2 linked regions of the Daphnia pulex genome follow. The protein of the gene in region 2 purifies or fractionates together with the protein of the main gene of each other region. This does not show direct contact. Links are inferred from orthologs where the notes say so. Each region holds a gene or a part of one and is shown on either strand. Other genes may lie near its edges. The genes, in order: protein numb-like and AP-2 complex subunit alpha-like.

Region 1 (4,494 bases), on a different chromosome or scaffold from region 2:
CGACAGCATTACCCTGGAAGGACCTTGAAGGATCTCCATACATGTAATTCTCCTGGCCGTAGCCGGGCGGCATGTGATGATCCATGTCAAATTCAACTAAATAACTTTCTGTTTCTAAAGAATAATCACACAATCAAAAGGGTGTTTCAAATCAATAGACAAAATAGACGCGTCCAAGTAAAACACGATGAAGTTTTACGTTAATTTAAAACTGCCTTGAAAGAAACACGATAGCAAAACAAGTTTGTTAGAGAACCAAACGGGTGAAGCGAGTAAACGACGACCAAATGAAGCCGAATCTAAAAGCCATGATCAAATCGTATATTCATTGAGGTACCACAGAAAACCAGCAGATGGCGTTCACGACGCGCCCTAAATTTTTAATAAAGGCTTGTGCACACTATCAACACCAGATGGCAGTCTGATGAATCTTAAATGATTTTTTTTTGTGGTGGCACACTGAGAGAGATGCAGTTGCAGTCAAAACGGTTTCTTAAACCGAAGTGCTCTGAGAGTATTGCTAAAGCGGTGGGAGTGGTGTGATTAGTTAGTTTGTGAACGTATTGTTTTCATTGAGATCGTCCAGTTCATCGCGAGGCCGGTAAGTTTGGCCGATTCTGTTTTGGTGTGTGTTGACAGGCTTTTCGTCGGGGCTTGTTTTCAGTTTCTCATTCAAGGCAGTCTTGGTTGGTTTTCTCTCTGCCCAGAGGTCTACAGCATCAAGTGAAACCGACGGCATTTGTTCTCTCCCCTTTACGTTTGTACATACCTTTTGTAGATTGTTTTTTCCAGCCTATTTGATATTATCGTTTTTCGATGGGAAAATTCTCATCGACAATCACATTTTCGTAAAATCTGATGAGAAACGTTGCGTGTGGCCATTTCACCCCTCTTGAGATTTTTTGGTGTCGGTGAACCGATCAAACGTTGGTAGAAGCTAAAAGAGAAATCAGTTTCATTATCAACAACCCTGATGTGAGATGTGCCTGTGAGCCGGATCGATAAGAGACTTTCATCACACAGGCCGTGTAGCAACTTCACTAGGTCTCTCTCAGACTCTCACGCCATTACGTATACACGTTGACATTCTTTCCACGAAGCCATTACCGTTTCTTTTTCTCTCCTTGTCTCTCATATACGTTTACGGTTTTATTTTTTCTTTTTTTTGACGATGAGTGAAAGAGTCGGCCTTTTTCGCCATAGGGCATTGTTGATCCAGGGTCAGTGCAACCGCAAGGCCAAGAAACTAACCAATTTGGTTGCTTTTCCCACTTTGAAGATTGTGTGTGTGTGTGCTGCAGCTAGTAGTAGTATATTTATTATCAGTAGATTATTAAGCAACCCTTGTCCTCTAACCGTCTGCTGACATGCTTATCGATATATCATTTGCAGACGAGGTAACTTCATTTATTGATTCGACCCTTGGCTGGCTTTGAACAAAGGTAAATCATGAACGTAATCTACCTTGCCCTGCATTGATATCGTGTTGGTTTCTATGACATGAAAGAGAAAGTGATGGCCACATCACGTTGATGTTTGCCGGACGTATCACAGGACTAACTGATAAAAGCAAAGTGTCCTTCAACGACGTAGGGCTCTCTCATGTGGTTCGTTCACCTCCTCTGTTGCGGGTCCATTCATATTCATGTATGCAATAACCCCCGTACGAGATGTGATCCGTCACCATAGATGCCATCATCGGGAAAAAACAATTTCGATGAAGCCCATCTCTTGTTATTATTATTTTCGATGCTAACCCCGAGACTGTAGGAATCGGCTGCTACCTTTTTTGTCTAGCTGGAAAGAAGAGAGAAATAAGTCAGTAAAAAGGTAGAAGAAAAGACAGAAAAGAAGGAGGGAGTTCAAAGATGGCCTCGAGCTGAACAAGCATGAAGGCCAAAGCCTCATGTTACATACCTATGGCAACACGAAGGGAGCCAACCACGGTCGCATGCGTCTATATACCTGGTCGGGACTACATTCCACTCTTTGGCAGTAGTTTGCTTGGGTTTCTCACGTCACGGGCGCCATTTTGATGGTCCGCCTTGCTGGGGAACGTTCGCTTGTTGTTATAGTCTGCTCCTCCAGCAGCTTCGCGGTCGTTCTCATCGATTTCCCTCCCGACGTGATTCAACTGGACAGACGTTTTGCGTCCGTTTTACGCCATTTCGTTTCTGTGTTTTACGGCCGAGTGTGATCTTTTTTAAGAGTGAACTAGATTGTGACTACTGTGTGTGACGTGTGTTTGCACGTGCGGAATCGTTTGTGCAACCCAAAGAAATAAGACGGAAATATTTGCTCGTCTTTCTGTTTTACCGGAATGGCAACTGGGCGGATATCTCTTATTTTCTGACTTTACGGGTCGCCGGTGCCGGCGTAATGGAAACCGGCCGTGTGACGACGCACGAATTTAATTCGCACGGATCTTGATGCACATCTAGTTTTTCGTTCATCTACAAAATATCCAACAAAAAACTCTTTTACATTTTATTTTGCACACATTGCACCACCAAATCTTAATTTAAAAAAAAACCAAAACATGGGCAACGCCCATTCTGCTCTTCCGCACGATCCGCTCGAATCGGCCGTAACCCATCCGATCGCTCCGGTGGCCAATGAAATCGACAAGGTGATCGGGTCTCTTATATTTTAATTCCTGCTTAACATTTGACCGTGGCCAACTCGATTTGGTCGAATCAAGGAAACTTTCTAAGAATGTATCGGGTAATTTTAGTTGAGGAAGCAAAAGGTTAAAAAAGATTGGAATGTGGGCTAGGTTGGGTCTCGGAGCGTGTAACACGTTGCGTCTTACCTGGGGCGTAGCGATGACCTGTTGCCCTCTGGCGTTAGCTGACGTGTGAAGCGACGTCACGCCCCCCTTTCCTCTGAGGCTCCAGCTCCTCCTCTTTGATCTTGCCATGTTTTTCTTTTTCACGTGTGTGTGTGTGTCTGTCGTTTCCCGAACGGAGATGCCCTATTCTTTTATTATCTCACAAGTTGCTGTTTATTCTTTGGGTAATAATCAAGATTCGGTCGAAAGAATATCTCTCTTGGCAATGGCGCGCCGTCTCGACGTGCCCGCGCTTGAGAAACAATCGATAATATTCGGGGCGTGTGGGTTCTCGTTTCTTTCGTTAATTTTTTATTATTCCACCGAGGTACCGTACTCTTCAGGGCATGATTCATTGCGTGCGTTTGCGAAAGCGTAACGGGATAGTTGCGCTAACTGAACGAATTTGCCGTTATGTTGCAACGTTAATTTCTCCATGAAACGGCTGGAATGGCCGGAATTCGGGTTGGACCCGACACCATTGCAGATCGCGGCGTCTCTAATATTTTGCTTCGGTTTTTCTTATTGCAGGCTGAGAAGAGCGAGACCAAGGAGAGCGGACGCCATAAGAGGATGGAGCGATTGCGGAGAAGCTTCCGCGAAAGTTTCCGTCGCCGCAAAGACCACGTCCCCGAGAGTTCAAAACCGCACCAATGGCAGTCGGACGAGGCTGCCGTTCGAGCTGGAACTTGCAATTTTTACGTCAAGGTTCGTGAGCACGTTATATACATTGTGCAGGACGTATATTTTTGTTGTTGACGTTTGGCAGGAATCCACGTGGTTCTATTTATTTGCGATTCGCTCACCTTTTTGAATTTTTATTTTTTCCAGTATCTGGGATGCGTGGAAGTGTACGAGTCACGTGGTATGCCTGTTTGCGAGGAAGCACTCAAAGTGCTCAGGGTAAAATATTCATTTCCATTGAAACGATGATGACAAAATATTCCACATTTATTTATTTATTCATTCCCAAAACAGAATTCTAGACGTCGACCAGTAAAAGGCGTTCTGCACATTTCCGGCGATGGATTACGAGTTGTCGAAGAAGACACCAAAGTATGAAATTTCCGTTGATTTCGTCACCGACATCTTAGACTCACTTTTCTCTCTATTGCATCGTGAATCACAGGGATTGATTGTCGACCAGACGATTGAGAAAGTCTCCTTTTGTGCTCCGGATCGTAATCACGAAAAAGGATTCTCGTACATCTGTCGTGATGGTACTACGCGTCGTTGGATGTGCCACGGATTCTTGGCCAGCAAAGACTCGGTGAGGATCGTAAATGAATTGCTGTCAATCCAACAGAGAGAGAGAGAGACAAGCTTGATTACCCCAATAATGAAAGTGGCCATCGTCAATGATAATGGATTGACGGTTTCCGGTCTTATTTCCTCCTTTGACTTACGCTGGTTATTAATACTATTGTTGATGCCCTGGTTTTTTTCTTTTTTCAGGGAGAGCGGTTGAGTCATGCAGTGGGTTGCGCTTTTGCCGTTTGCTTGGAACGGAAACAAAAACGAGATAAGGAGTGCAGCGTGACGATGAATTTCGACACCTCCAACTCTACATTCACGCGCTCGGGCAGTTTTAGAGCAGCGCCCTTGACGGAACGCATTCAAGATCCGCAGGAATACAGACCGGCCGGTAATACCTCACATCTATT
Region 2 (4,378 bases):
AAATAGCTACTTTCAACACCTGCACAGCAAATACCAATGAAATGGTATGGGTTAAATTTAAGAAATGAACAAAATAGCTCAATAGAACCCACCATTTCTTCTCGAATCGAGTAATCAGCAGTTTCAAGATAGTTTAGCATTTCCTGAACGATCTCTTCGGCATTGCTCTTGTCACACATGGCATACAAGAGATCAACTGCTCGTTGACGCACCGATACATCTCGTTCCGTCTGTAGCAAAGAGAGAATTCTAATAAAGTAATCACTGTTTTCGAGAGGAGTGAATACCTTAAGTGCATTGATGACAGTCTCCTGATGCTTCTTCACCGAGTCATGGGAAAATTCTGAAGTCGCCAAGAGGCATAGCGACTCTAGTGCTAGATACCGCAGATTTGTTTCCCGGTGGGACAAGAATTGGCCGAGCTGGTTACATCCCCGAACGAGCAATGTTGCATCACTGAAATTAAAAGACAACAAAGGTGTAAGGGACTTCACACAATATTTCCTCCGCCTCAAATAACACACTAACTGATGTGGTAATAGCAAATGCCGATTTAGAATAGGAAAAAATATTTTCTACTAGCGAAGAATTTTTTTTTAGAAAACCCACCTATCGGCGTGAATGATTAAACTGATTGCCTCAAAGAGAACAGCATTTTTAGCGTTAGAATGCTGCACTTTCTTTGATTTCGGCGGTTCTTGTGCCTTGTTTAAGATGGTTTCTAAACATTCAGTTAATCTTCCGCGGACACCGGCATCCTCTGAAATGAAATAAATAATTCATATTTAAGACAACATTAAATTGCTTCTGATTAAATTCAGAAATTTACCCGGTGGAGGGTAGTTTTGCAGTAGTCTCAGAAGTTTAACAGACAGCCAGGGAGCGGGTACAAAATAATAAGTGTAGTCCTGTAAATCTGTGTAGCTGGCTGTCACGATCTGAATGCAATTAAGAAAAACAAATTATTTATTTTTCTTTTGATTGATTTTAGTAGTAGTGTTTAGATTGATAAACAATAACATTAGTAAAGTATATTGGAATTTATATTTCGAATTTACCCGGCTGAGACGAGAGACTGCCAGGCTAACACATCCCTTGTACTCGTCAGTGTTCCGTTTCACCAGGGCTTCAATCAAAGAGGCAGCAGCCGTTACAACTCCTAAGTGCTGAAAAAAAAGAAGAAATGCTTTTGATATTATTTTGGTAAAGACCAATTCAAATCATGATGTGGACAATGGAGAGGAATATCTTGTTCGAACAACTGTCGATCTTCGACCGAAGGTTCCTCTTCTACTTCGACCAAGAAAGGCTTTGAACTTAGGAACCTAATGCCATCATGCTACCAGGTCATTCACACCTGGTCATTTAGTAAGTGGATAATTCGTGATGTCCATTCTCCGCTTGGTATGACTTCCGGGCAGGTTCGAAGCAGTCTCAGAAGACAGAGAGCAGCCGACTGCTTTACAACGTCCATAGTGTCTCTGTTTATGATGTTATATGAACAAATTTAAAATATGAAAATGTCTTATTTTTTTTTCTGCAAAGGTAATTCAAGTCACTTACCCCGACACAAGTAATTTCGGGATTTCTGTGCCAAAGGTCTCGGCCATTTCTTTGCTTCCTATGTTGGCAATGCACTGAAGTGCCAAGTTAACGTGAATGGGATTGCGTGACGCCAAATCATTCTTGATACTTTGAATAATCAATCGAATCAGATCACTGTTAGTGTTGACCAGCACTGAGATGAAAAGGTAGCCCTGACGATAGGTGTGAAATAAATATTAATAAATGAAAACTGCACTAAAATCGAAAAAGTTCAAATGGTTTGTACAATTTGCTTCTCGGTGTACTTGTTGGATGATAGAAGATTGACGGCTTCCATGTGACCAAAATCTATATCGTGTCCCAAGAGGAAGATGAATAGCAATTTGCACACATATTTCTTTTTTTGGTAGCCATCCAAGGTTTTGTCGCCTTTGAATTTGGATCGTATGTTGGCCAGCTCCTTATTAATTCGCTTTATTTCCGCTTCTTTGCTTTTACCTGCAGACAGATGGTAAAATGTAAAAAAAAAAAATGAAAAATAAACAAATAAAACAAAAACAAAATGAAATCAGAACAAAAATGAAGAAAATACACACAGTTTCGAATGTCCGAAATGAAGACGGCCAGGCCCCGCATACCATCTCCTCTGACGGCCGGCATTCTCTTTCTGTTCTCAACTGCAATAGAGATCGAAGTATTAATAAAGATACAATACTATACAAAGTATTAGGCTGTTACAGTAGTGTTTATTTTTAAAAAATTATATGTGTATATATAAATATATACGTTTGTAGAGCGCTTGCGCACAGTCGTACGTAATGGCCACCGAAGCCACAGATATTGATTTCGTGGTGCAGGTCATAAATAATCTTACAACTAAATGCATAATAATTACCATATTTTAAAATGATCTAGTCACACTACATACTCAATCATTAAAATGAAAACAATTTTTAGAAACCCTAATAATATGTGGCCCACATAAAAAAACCAAAACATTTCTACAATGATCGGGCATAATCTAGAATCACAAAATTTCAGTTCCCTGCTAATGAAGGTAATAGATAAATTAACTTGAAAATTTGAAGTGCAATAGGCTCATTGAAATGAAAATAACTGAAACTAAACTTCGAGACCACTAACATACAAAAGGATATTGTAGTGTAATAGACCAATGACACCTTCTGGTTTTTAAAGATTTCCTCATAAAACACAGATTCAAACAAAAAGACTGTTATCAAGGTCTACTCCCGAAATTTTATAAAATGAGTGGTTCCTGTCATTATAACCTAATGGAGTAAGGACTAAAGAGATCAGAAATGTCTCGTATAAGAGTAGGCATACCGTGTATATAACTAGTCCAGTACAACCGATCAAACTACCCAAAACTTGATAAAGAATAGAAATATATGTGAATATCAATGAAAAACCAAGTGCCAATTCTTACTGAGATATTCGACCGGTGAAGAAACTCCTTGCCTTTACTGTCAATGTAGTAAACCTAAGACGATACCAAATACCACCCACTTCACACATCCACGACATCTAGGACATCTAGCGGTTGAGCTGAAATTTCAATGAGCAAAACTGTTGTCTGCTTGAAATGAAATAACAATAAGGTGATGGTGATCGTCAATGCCGTAATTGCCGCATGCACCTGCTAATAAAAAGTCCGATTTGAACAAGCCAGCACGTTTTGTAACTTGCTCCAAGGTTTCAAAACAAATGCTATAATCTCCTTCATTTCACTAACTACCGTTCATCTCCTACTTCCAGTAACGTTTTGGCTAGACAATTCCAAACTTTATACTGAAGTAGAATGAATCAAGTCAAGGTATGGCCCTCTTTTATTTATTTTTGTTTTAATATTTCCAACTTCAAAGAGTCTCATTTTATGTACAATGTATGATTTTTCTATTAACTTAATTTTTGTATTAAGACTTTAATATGATTTTTTCTTTTCCATGAAGAATGAAGAAAAACATGTGCCAAAAGAGTTGTGCTCTGTTTGCAATATACAAATAGACCGCATCAGTATGGAGCAACATTTGAAAGGAAAAAAGCATATTTTGCTAGTTAATCAAATAAAAATGAAAAAGAGAATTTCTCAACAAATTAGCAGTGAAGGAATCTATATTACTGGTAATTCAAAGATACCTGAGAAATCTTTATTCTGTGTTCAGTATTTTGAAATATTTTCTATCCATTTAAAACTAGGAATTCCAACTTCCCTAAGGAAAGACAAACTAGTAAAACATTTCAAACAATTTGGACAAGTAATAGCCATTTTAAGGAATGAAACGGAAAACACAGGATTGTTGCAGTTCAGAACAAAGTTGGTTAAATTTTTCACAATCATCAACAATATTTTTGTATCAATGTTTAACTTAGATTTTGTTTTTAACCTTTAAAGAAAGCAAGCAGATATGGCACTGAAATGCTCTCATCATGTGGAAGGAAGTTTGTTGGGAGTGCAACCAAGAAATCAAGTTGAACATAATCTAACAAACTCATCATCCAAAGGTTTTTAAATTTAAGTTGTAATTTTTTTTAAACATCTGAGTTTATATTAGTTGCTGCTTAATCTAATTTTGATTGATGTTAACATATTTTGTAAATTAGTTTTAATTGTCATCTTCAAATAGGATTATAATATGTTTGCAGTTTATTAATGTGATAAGTCGGTTGAAAATCATTCTTATATGGGAACGGGTATCCGATTTTACGATACCAAAATTATTTTGATTATGATCGCTTTGTTCAATCACGTTAGTAAGATTCCCTTTTTTTAATTTCTAGGTTCAGCTGGATTATTTGACGAAATTGAGGTTTT

Evidence for each region.
Region 1: the proteins of AP-2 complex subunit alpha-like (region 2) and protein numb-like purify together in Drosophila melanogaster (affinity purification with western blotting; 5 studies listed by BioGRID). This does not show direct contact. The link is inferred for Daphnia pulex from reciprocal best matches to the Drosophila melanogaster genes AP-2alpha and numb.

What each region holds. Positions count from the first base shown.
Region 1 is NC_060020.1:5,122,149-5,126,642, reverse strand, and holds the start of protein numb-like, read left to right. Parts: upstream 1-1,506; 5' UTR 1,507-2,539; coding exon 2,540-2,629; intron 2,630-3,361; coding exon 3,362-3,538; intron 3,539-3,661; coding exon 3,662-3,733; intron 3,734-3,808; coding exon 3,809-3,886; intron 3,887-3,959; coding exon 3,960-4,100; intron 4,101-4,285; coding exon 4,286-4,475; intron 4,476-4,494. Other genes in the region: splicing factor 3B subunit 2-like, read right to left, coding at 1-85.
Region 2 is NC_060028.1:3,027,782-3,032,159, reverse strand, and holds the start of AP-2 complex subunit alpha-like, read right to left. Parts: upstream 3,117-4,378; 5' UTR 2,993-3,116; intron 2,934-2,992; exon of another isoform or gene 2,890-2,933; intron 2,223-2,889; 5' UTR 2,206-2,222; coding exon 2,142-2,205; intron 2,044-2,141; coding exon 1,832-2,043; intron 1,758-1,831; coding exon 1,564-1,757; intron 1,482-1,563; coding exon 1,358-1,481; intron 1,167-1,357; coding exon 1,059-1,166; intron 939-1,058; coding exon 830-938; intron 761-829; coding exon 610-760; intron 457-609; coding exon 288-456; intron 231-287; coding exon 93-230; intron 20-92; coding exon 1-19. Other genes in the region: speckle targeted PIP5K1A-regulated poly(A) polymerase-like, read left to right, coding at 3,365-3,379, 3,516-3,687, 3,763-3,880, 3,959-4,068, 4,345-4,378. UniProt on the Drosophila melanogaster protein: Adaptins are components of the adapter complexes which link clathrin to receptors in coated vesicles. Clathrin-associated protein complexes are believed to interact with the cytoplasmic tails of membrane proteins, leading to their selection and concentration.